Linked DNA regions of Macaca mulatta. The protein of the gene in region 2 interacts with the protein of the main gene of each other region in a biochemical or structural test. Links are inferred from orthologs where the notes say so. Each region holds a gene or a part of one and is shown on either strand. Other genes may lie near its edges. The genes, in order: TRIB1 and CEBPA.

Region 1 (3,899 bases), on a different chromosome or scaffold from region 2:
ATCAGCTCCTGAGAGCTAAGCAAACCCCCCAACATCTGTGGCCCTTTCCTGTTTGCAGGCCACACTAGTGAGTGGTTGATAGAAGGAAGCCCCTGGCCTGTCCAGGAGCTGAAAAGCAGTCCCTGGACATGCATGTGTCTCCTGCAGACCCAAAGTGCTCAGCACAGAAAGGGCACAGAATGTGGTGACTCTGCAGCCTCCAAGGGGAAGCAGGGGCCAGAGAACATGCAGAGCTGTCATTAATCAGAAGGAACAGATGACTTGGAGGGGGAGGCTGGGACAATGCAGCTTTAAGCAACCTGCCTACAGTCCGACTCAAGTGTAAGTAAGCCGCCTTGAGTTACAATTCTCACAGGAGGGGTAGGGGATCCTGCGAATCGGTTTTTCATTTGTTTGTTTACCCCCCACACCCGACCCCACCCCTAAAAATGAGTAGCATCTCCTCTCTTCTAGGAAGCTGGCTGATCTCTTTAGAGGCCTTTTGTTTAGTCCAGTTACTCATATCCTAGACTCAACTGGAAACGGTGACACACGGGCTGTCACCATCTGGATTCAGCTATTATCTGCTCAGAGGAACTGGAAGGGGTTGCACAATGGCCAGACTCACCCCACCTCTAAGAGGCCTGGCTGCTCTGGCACCAGCTAGAAAAATCCCCTGCTGCCCCCTCCTCCCACCCACCCCATCCCACCACACACATATGCTTGTCCCAGAACAGCTCTGAGCCCCAGCCACGGAGAAGAAAAGGGTTTTATCTCCCCCTATTAAACTGGGCTTGATCATGCGTTTGAAATTTCATTCGGGTTGGGCAGTAGGTGGCAGCAGCGAGCCCCGGGACGGGGTCGGGGTGTTGGGAGTGTCAGGTGAGTTGCGGAAAACCCAGAAGCGACTTAACTGGGGGCTGATCCTATCTTTCGGGTGAAAAGGAGCAGCCCGAGGGTGCTCTGGGGTGCCTCAAGCAGGGGTGTCATGCTCGCATAAAGTAGACTGTGGGAATGTTCTGCGTCTACCCGCGCAGGAGGAGGACCCGGCGGATCCTGTTTCTAGGAGCTGTGTCTCCTCCTCCTGGATGGGATCCCTACGTTCAAAGGAAAATCGCTGGCTGGAAAATAAAGTGAATCGAAGCGAGGGTTCCTGCCCGGTGTGGGCTTTTCAACATTTCTACTCCGAGCAGATTCCTCCGCCTCGGGTGGAAGACTCTGGGACTGCTCCCTAGGGAGGACGTGTTCTAGTCCCAGCGCGAATTCAATTCGGAATCCCCAAGGCAGGAGCCGGACACAGTCTTCCAGCGCTCTTACCACCTACAACTGAGCCCGGGTGCCGTGCAAACCCGGCAAGAGAGATGCCAGCTGCTTCAATCTCCTAGGAGGCACCCACTGCAGGGCGTCCTTCCAGGACATGGGGTTGGGGGGGCGGGGGGTGGAGAGCGAGGAGAATGAGAGAAGGGGAATGGCATGGCCCTGGAATCCATTTCAATTCCACAACTTATATGGAACGCCACGCGCTACACTGGGCGCTAAGGAAAGGAACAGAAAGAGAAGGCCACTGAACACTACACTTCCTCTAGGCGCCCCCATTATACCACTCCATGGGAAACCCCTCAATCCACAAAAAGGTGAACCTGGTCAGATGGCGTCTTATCTGACCCCATCTACTGATCTGCCCTGTGCCCAGCCCAAGCGTTGGCCGCACCCCAAGCACCTTTGCCTACTACCCCGTCCTGCGCCCCCGACCCCAGCCGGGTCCTGGCCCGGGAGCGCCTACCTTGCAGCGCAGCTCGCGGCCAGTGTGGATGCACAGCGCCCGGGACACATGCTCGCGCTCGGCTAGGGGCAGCAGCAGGTAGTCGGCGATGCGGCTGGGCCCCGGCGCGCTCCCGGAGCCGCCGCCGGTCCCCGGAGCGGCAGGTGGGGGCTGCGGGCTGCAGGGCGAGCCGGGGGGGCTGAGGTAGTCCGGGGGGCTGGAGCACTCGGAGAGGCGCGGGCACTTGGCCGCCACGGCCGCCGCGTCGTCGGCGTCCAGCAGGCGTTTGGCCGGGACGCCTCGGGCGGCTGGGAACAGCAGGGCCGGGCCGCGGGGTTGCGAGGCGCCGCTCATGGCAGAGCGCACGGGACCGACCCGCATCCCGTCCTGGGCCGGGGCGGCCCCGGCTTTTTAAGTCCCGGGATCCGCGCGGGAAGACGCTGCGGGCTTGGCGCCGGCTCCGCGACTTCTTCCAGCCGGCGGGATGGAGTTTGCAGACTGCTCTTGGCTCGGCCCCCACTAGGGGCAAAGCAGGAGCCGCTCCCCGGCGCTCGCGTTGCACGCGGGGACCACGCTGGCTGTGCGTCCGGGGAGCGGAGGCCGGCTTGGGTCCCCGGATCCCCGCAGGCAAGGGCTCCCGGAGCCTCGCTGGGGGCGGCCGCCACTATTGTTGCCTAGGCTGCCGACAGTCCGGGAGGCAGAGGCGGCGGCGGCAGCGGCCAGCGATCCCGGCTTCCCGAGCCGCGAGGACAGGATTCAGTAGGCTCGGCGGAGCCACGAAGCAAATGCACTTCCCAAAGCGATGAGTCTCGAGCTAAAGCCGGGGGAACTTTTTCGCGGCGCTCGGGATCCTGCGCGCTCCTGGGCTCCGGGCGTGTAGGAGAGCGAGCGAGACGCGCTCAGAGAGAGTGACTGTGAGTGAGTGTGAGCGCCGCACCGATCCCGGCCAGTGCACTCCTCCTTCTCCTTTTCCTCCACCTCCTCCGCCTCCCGGTGACTCACGCTGTATACACACACACTCACAGGCCGGGCTGTGTAAACAGTTGGGAAGCCGGGTTGTGCAATGAGGTGGCTGCGACGACTCCGGCCTCGCCGCCCGGCGAGCAGTCTCAGGAGCGGAGGGAGGAGACTTGGGGGAGGGGAGGGAGAACAGGAGGTGGGGGGAATGGGGGTGGCCCGAGGGCTGGGGATGCTTGGGGCAGCGCGCGGTCGGGCACAGGTGGTGCGTCCCGGGCCGGCCTGGGCGCGCGCACACGCCCCCCGGGCTGGGCTGGGCAGGAGGTGGCGCGCGCCCTCCGGCAGGCCGCCAGCTCGGCCGAGAAGCCGAAGGAGGGGGCGGAGGAAAAGTTCCCGTGACGTAAGGGTCCGGGGAAGTGGGCGGGAGGGGCGGGGCCGCGGGGAGCGAAGCGACCGCTGATTGGTGCGCGCGCCTCATTCACAGCAAGCACAATGGGCTGCGGGCGTGAGGCGGGAGCGCGCACCACGGTTCTGTGCACCCGCCGCCCGCTGCAGCCCCGCGGCGACGCCTTTCGCCCCGGGGATACCCCCACCGCCCAGCGCCTGGGGAGCTCCAGTTGGAGCCGTGGGCGCCGCCGAGGCCCGGCTGCAGCCGGAGGAAGGAGGGGGATGGGGAGGTGATGAATTCCAGAATCAGTCATTCACCCCCACGCGGTAGTTCCGGGGAAGACCTGTGCGTGGTAGTGGATGTGGCTTTTTTTTTCTCTCTCTTTTCCTGCCCCCTCCCAGCTCCAATCCCCAGCGTCTGTTCGCTTCCACAAATAGAACCTTCTGTTGGATGAAAGAAAAGCAAACACTGGGCCTTCTGCGCTGCCTCCACCTCCACGCCCCCCTAACCCCCCCGCGCCTGCCGCCCGCCCGGATTGCACGGAAATAGCTTCTCCAGGCTCCCGGGCCGCCCCTTCGCGGTGACTCGCAGAAAGAGCTTCCTGAGCCAGGGCCGGTGGGAAACAAAGGATGTGGGGAGCGGGCGGAAGGGGCCCACGTGGCTGCCGCCAGATTCCTGCTCCCTCCCCAGCCTCCACACGCGCCGCAGAGTCTAGGGCCTGAGTGCCAACCCGGGTAGGTGGGTAGGCTGGTGGAAGTCATTCTGGCCACTGCCAGAGATACCTCCTGCACCCGGGCAGCCCGCGTGATTTGG
Region 2 (3,899 bases):
GGAGCCTTGTCCTCTGCTATTTATTTGTGTTGCCTGGGGGAAGTAAGTCACCCCCTTAGGGTAAAGAGGGGCTGGGGGTGGATGGAGAGCTCATGAAAGTCAGGATTGCCGCCAGGGAAAATGCTGTATTATTTACAAATGTGGCCTGGCCCACAGACAACCTTGGAAGTAGCTTCTTTCTGGTTTTAAAAAGACACGGACATTGACTTTCGATATGTTTATATTATAGATATAATACATAAAACATCTACGGTGAGACTCTACGTTCTCCCCAAAAGAAGAGAACCAAGCCGTCTTTCCCTGCTCCCAGCCCCAGTGATGTGTTGGCGAGAGGCCACCTCCCTTCCCGACCAGGAGCCAGGGCCTCTGGGGGACAAGCCTTGTGGGCAGCCCAGGCCGGAGGGGCCGGGGAAAGCTGAGGGCAAAGGAGAACTCCCCTCACCTCATTGGTCCCCCAGGATCAAAAGTAATCCCAAAACCAAAAGGAAAGAGAGTCTCAGACCCTTCCCCCAGCTGCCGATGGAGAGTCTCATTTTGGCAAGTATCCGAGCAAAACCAAAACAAAACAAAAACCAAATAAAATGGTGGTTTAGCAGAGACGCGCACATTCACATTGCACAAGGCACTGCTGGGGCACAGAGGCCAGATACAAGTGTTGATATCGGCTGATAAAGCAAAATATTTGGAAAGCTTGTCATAACTCCGGTCCCTCTGGGATGGACTGATCGTGCTTCGTGTTCCTAGGCAATGCTGAAGGCATACAGTACAAACAAGGCTGAGGGTCCCAGTGGCCCTTCACCCCCCAAGCCCGCCCACGGCCAGATCTCTAGGTCTCCATCTCCCACCAGGGGTATACATCCTCAGAGCTGACTCACGACCTAGCTTTCTGGTCTAACTCGTGGTGGGGGCTCCCACTGGTCACCTGGTGACTCCCATCTCAGTGAGTTCCGCCCCAAGGGAAAGCCCAGCCTATAGCAGGCTGGGGTGGGGTGTGTGCGGAGGGAGGTGGGAGAGGCGTGGAACTAGACCCTCCACCTTCATGTAGAACTAGGGGAACAACCTTAGGTTTCAAGCCCCAAGTCCCTATGTTTCCCCCCATTTCTAAGGACAGGCGCGGAGGAGCGGCTGGGGCCGGTTGGCTTGTCGGGATCTCAGCTCCCTGAGCCCTCCTCCTGCCACGGGCCTGCTCCCCTCCTCCTCTCATGGGGGCCTGCTGCAGCCTCGGGAAGGAGGCAGGAAACCTCCAAATAAAATGACAAGGCACGATTTGCTCCCCCTACTCGGTAGGCATCGGAGCGGTGAGTTTGCATTTCCAAGGCACAAGGTTATCCTTAATACTAAAGTTGCCGGGCTCCCAGCTCAGCCCCAAGAATTCTCCCCTCCTTGCAGGGAGAAGTCACCGCCTGGCCCCCTCATCTCAGACGCACCAAGTCCGGCGCAGAAGAAGGGAGGGGACACGCGGAGCAGGCCAGGCTTTCGGGAGGCACCGGAATCTCCTAGTCCTGGCTCGCATGGCTCGGGCAAGCCTCGAGATCCGGCGACCCCAAACCACCCCTGGGTCCCCGCCGGAGGCTGGCCCAGGGCGGTCCCTCAGCCGCGCGCCTCACGCGCAGTTGCCCATGGCCTTGACCAAGGAGCTCTCTGGCAGCTGGCGGAAGATGCCCCGCAGCGTGTCCAGTTCGCGGCTCAGCTGTTCCACCCGCTTGCGCAGGCGGTCATTGTCACTGGTCAGCTCCAGCACCTTCTGCTGCGTCTCCACGTTGCGCTGCTTGGCCTTGTCGCGGCTCTTGCGCACCGCGATGTTGTTGCGCTCGCGCCGCACCCGGTACTCGTTGCTGTTCTTGTCCACCGACTTCTTGGCCTTGCCCGTGCCGCCGCCGCCACTCGCGCGGAGGTCGGGGTGCGCGGCGCCCAGCCCCTTGAGCGCGCCGCCGGGGCCCGGCAGGCCGGCGGCGCCGAGCGCGGGCGCGGGGTGCGGGCTGGGCACGGGCGTGGGTGGCGGCGTAGGGTGACCGGGCTGCAGGTGCATGGTGGTCTGGCCGCAGTGCGCTATCTGGAACTGCAGGTGCGGGGCGGCCAGGTGCGCTGGCGGCGGGTGCGGGTGTGAGGGCGGCGGCGGCGGCGGCGGCTGGTAAGGGAAGAGGCCGGCCAGCGCCAGCTGCTTGGCTTCATCCTCCTCGCGGGGCTCCTGCTTGATCACCAGCGGCCGCAGCGCCGGCGCCCCGACGCGCTCGTACAGGGGCTCCAGCCTGCCGTCCAGGTAGCCGGCGGCCGCGCAGCCGTAGCCGGGCGGGGGCCCGTGCGCTCCCCCGGGCATGACGGCGCCCCCGGGGCCCGCGGGCGCGCCCGGGTAGTCAAAGTCGCCGCCGCCGCCGCCGCCGCCCGCGGGGCCCGCGGCCGCCTTGGCCTTCTCCTGCTGCCGGCTGTGCTGGAACAGGTCGGCCAGGAACTCGTCGTTGAAGGCGGCCGGGTCGATGTAGGCGCTGATGTCGATGGACGTCTCGTGCTCGCAGATGCCGCCCAGCGGCTCCGGGGCGGCAGGTGGGGCGGGAGGCTGCGCGGGGCCCGCGCCGCGGGGAAAGCCGAAGGCGGCGCTGCTGGGCGCGTGCGGGGGACTCTGCAGGTGGCTGCTCATCGGGGGCCGCGGCTCCGCCTCGTAGAAGTCGGCCGACTCCATGGGGGAGCTAGAGTTCTCCCGGCATGGCGAGCCTCGGCGGCCTCCAGCCTGCGCGGGGCGTCGCCGCCGCCCACCCGGAGACCCGACTCGCCCGCGCCCGCGCAGCTCCGGGTCGCGAATGGCCCGGCCCGCGCCGGCCCAGCTTTTATACCCCGCGGCCGCGTCGCCCCCTAGAGTCCGAGGCGGCCTCTGTCCCCGGGCGGCGGCGGCGCGGCGCCCGCTGGGTCCTAGCGCGCGGCCGGGATGGAGCGGCGAACAAGCGGGGCCCAGCGCTGCGCTCCTCAGGCAGGCCGCGGCGCAACGCCCACCGCCTCCTGCGCGACCAGCAGAGCCGCGGCGCTCGCTCCAAGCTCCGCCCCCGGCCCAGCTGTCGCCCCTGCGCCCTCGTGGTTGGTGGCGGGGGCCCCCTCCTCCCGCCTCCCCTAGGCACCCACATTCTGCCACGGCTGGGAGCCCAGGAGTATCCCGAGGCTGCATGGGGTAGGGGTGGGTGGCGGAGGGGAGTCTTGGTCTTGAGCTGCTGTGGCTCGGACTCTCTTTCAAAGCCAGAACCAGGCCTGTCCGGGACCCGCGTCCCGGGGAGGCTGCGGCGCAGAGCGGCGGGGCGGGCAGGGGCCGGTGGGGGGCCGTTTGGGACTCGCGGAGAGACCCGGAGCGCGGTGGCTCTGCGTCTCCTAGCTCTGATCTCCAGGCTACCCCTGTGATTCCGCGCAGAGGCACCTCTCGGAGGACGGTGGAATCCCACGGGCGGCGCCGCGCGGGGCGCTAGGACCCCGCGGGGAGCGGAGGCGGCCTCGGCCCGGGAGCCTGAAGGACCTGGCCGGTGGATCCGCCCGGGCTGGAAAACTTTCTTTATAATTACTTCTCCAGGCCGGAGCGCGCGACTTGCTAGGCGCGCGGGACAGGCGTTGTTACCCAGCGTGGAGTCGCCGATTTTTTTTCCTGAGGGACCGGCGGGCTCCGGGAATAGCCGAGCTGGACGCCGGGGCGACCATGGGGAGGGGCGCACCGAGGGAGGAGACAAACTTGACTCTGGGGCCGGGATCCCGAGGCGGGGGCCGCAGTCCGCGAGGCCCGAAGCCACCGCTTCCTCCCCCCACCCCCCATTCAGGTGGGCGCCAACGGCCGGAGCGAGGGTGTCCAGGCCGCCGGGGCCGCCAGGTCCGAGCACCCACAGGAAGAACTCTGCCCGGTAGTTCGCTGGGCGCTGTGATCCCCGGGA

What was found.
Region 1: the proteins of CEBPA (region 2) and TRIB1 form a complex in vitro, tested with the Homo sapiens proteins (2 studies listed by BioGRID and IntAct, with this or other methods). The link is inferred for Macaca mulatta from reciprocal best matches to the Homo sapiens genes CEBPA and TRIB1.

Annotation. Positions count from the first base shown.
Region 1 is NC_133413.1:135,863,650-135,867,548, reverse strand, and holds the start of TRIB1 (tribbles homolog 1), read right to left. Parts: upstream 2,705-3,899; 5' UTR 2,123-2,704; coding exon 1,763-2,122; intron 511-1,762; exon of another isoform or gene 1-510. UniProt on the Homo sapiens protein: Adapter protein involved in protein degradation by interacting with COP1 ubiquitin ligase. The COP1-binding motif is masked by autoinhibitory interactions with the protein kinase domain.
Region 2 is NC_133424.1:44,601,789-44,605,687, forward strand, and holds CEBPA (CCAAT/enhancer-binding protein alpha), read right to left. Parts: upstream 2,798-3,899; 5' UTR 2,678-2,797; coding exon 1,604-2,677; 3' UTR 203-1,603; downstream 1-202. UniProt on the Homo sapiens protein: Transcription factor that coordinates proliferation arrest and the differentiation of myeloid progenitors, adipocytes, hepatocytes, and cells of the lung and the placenta.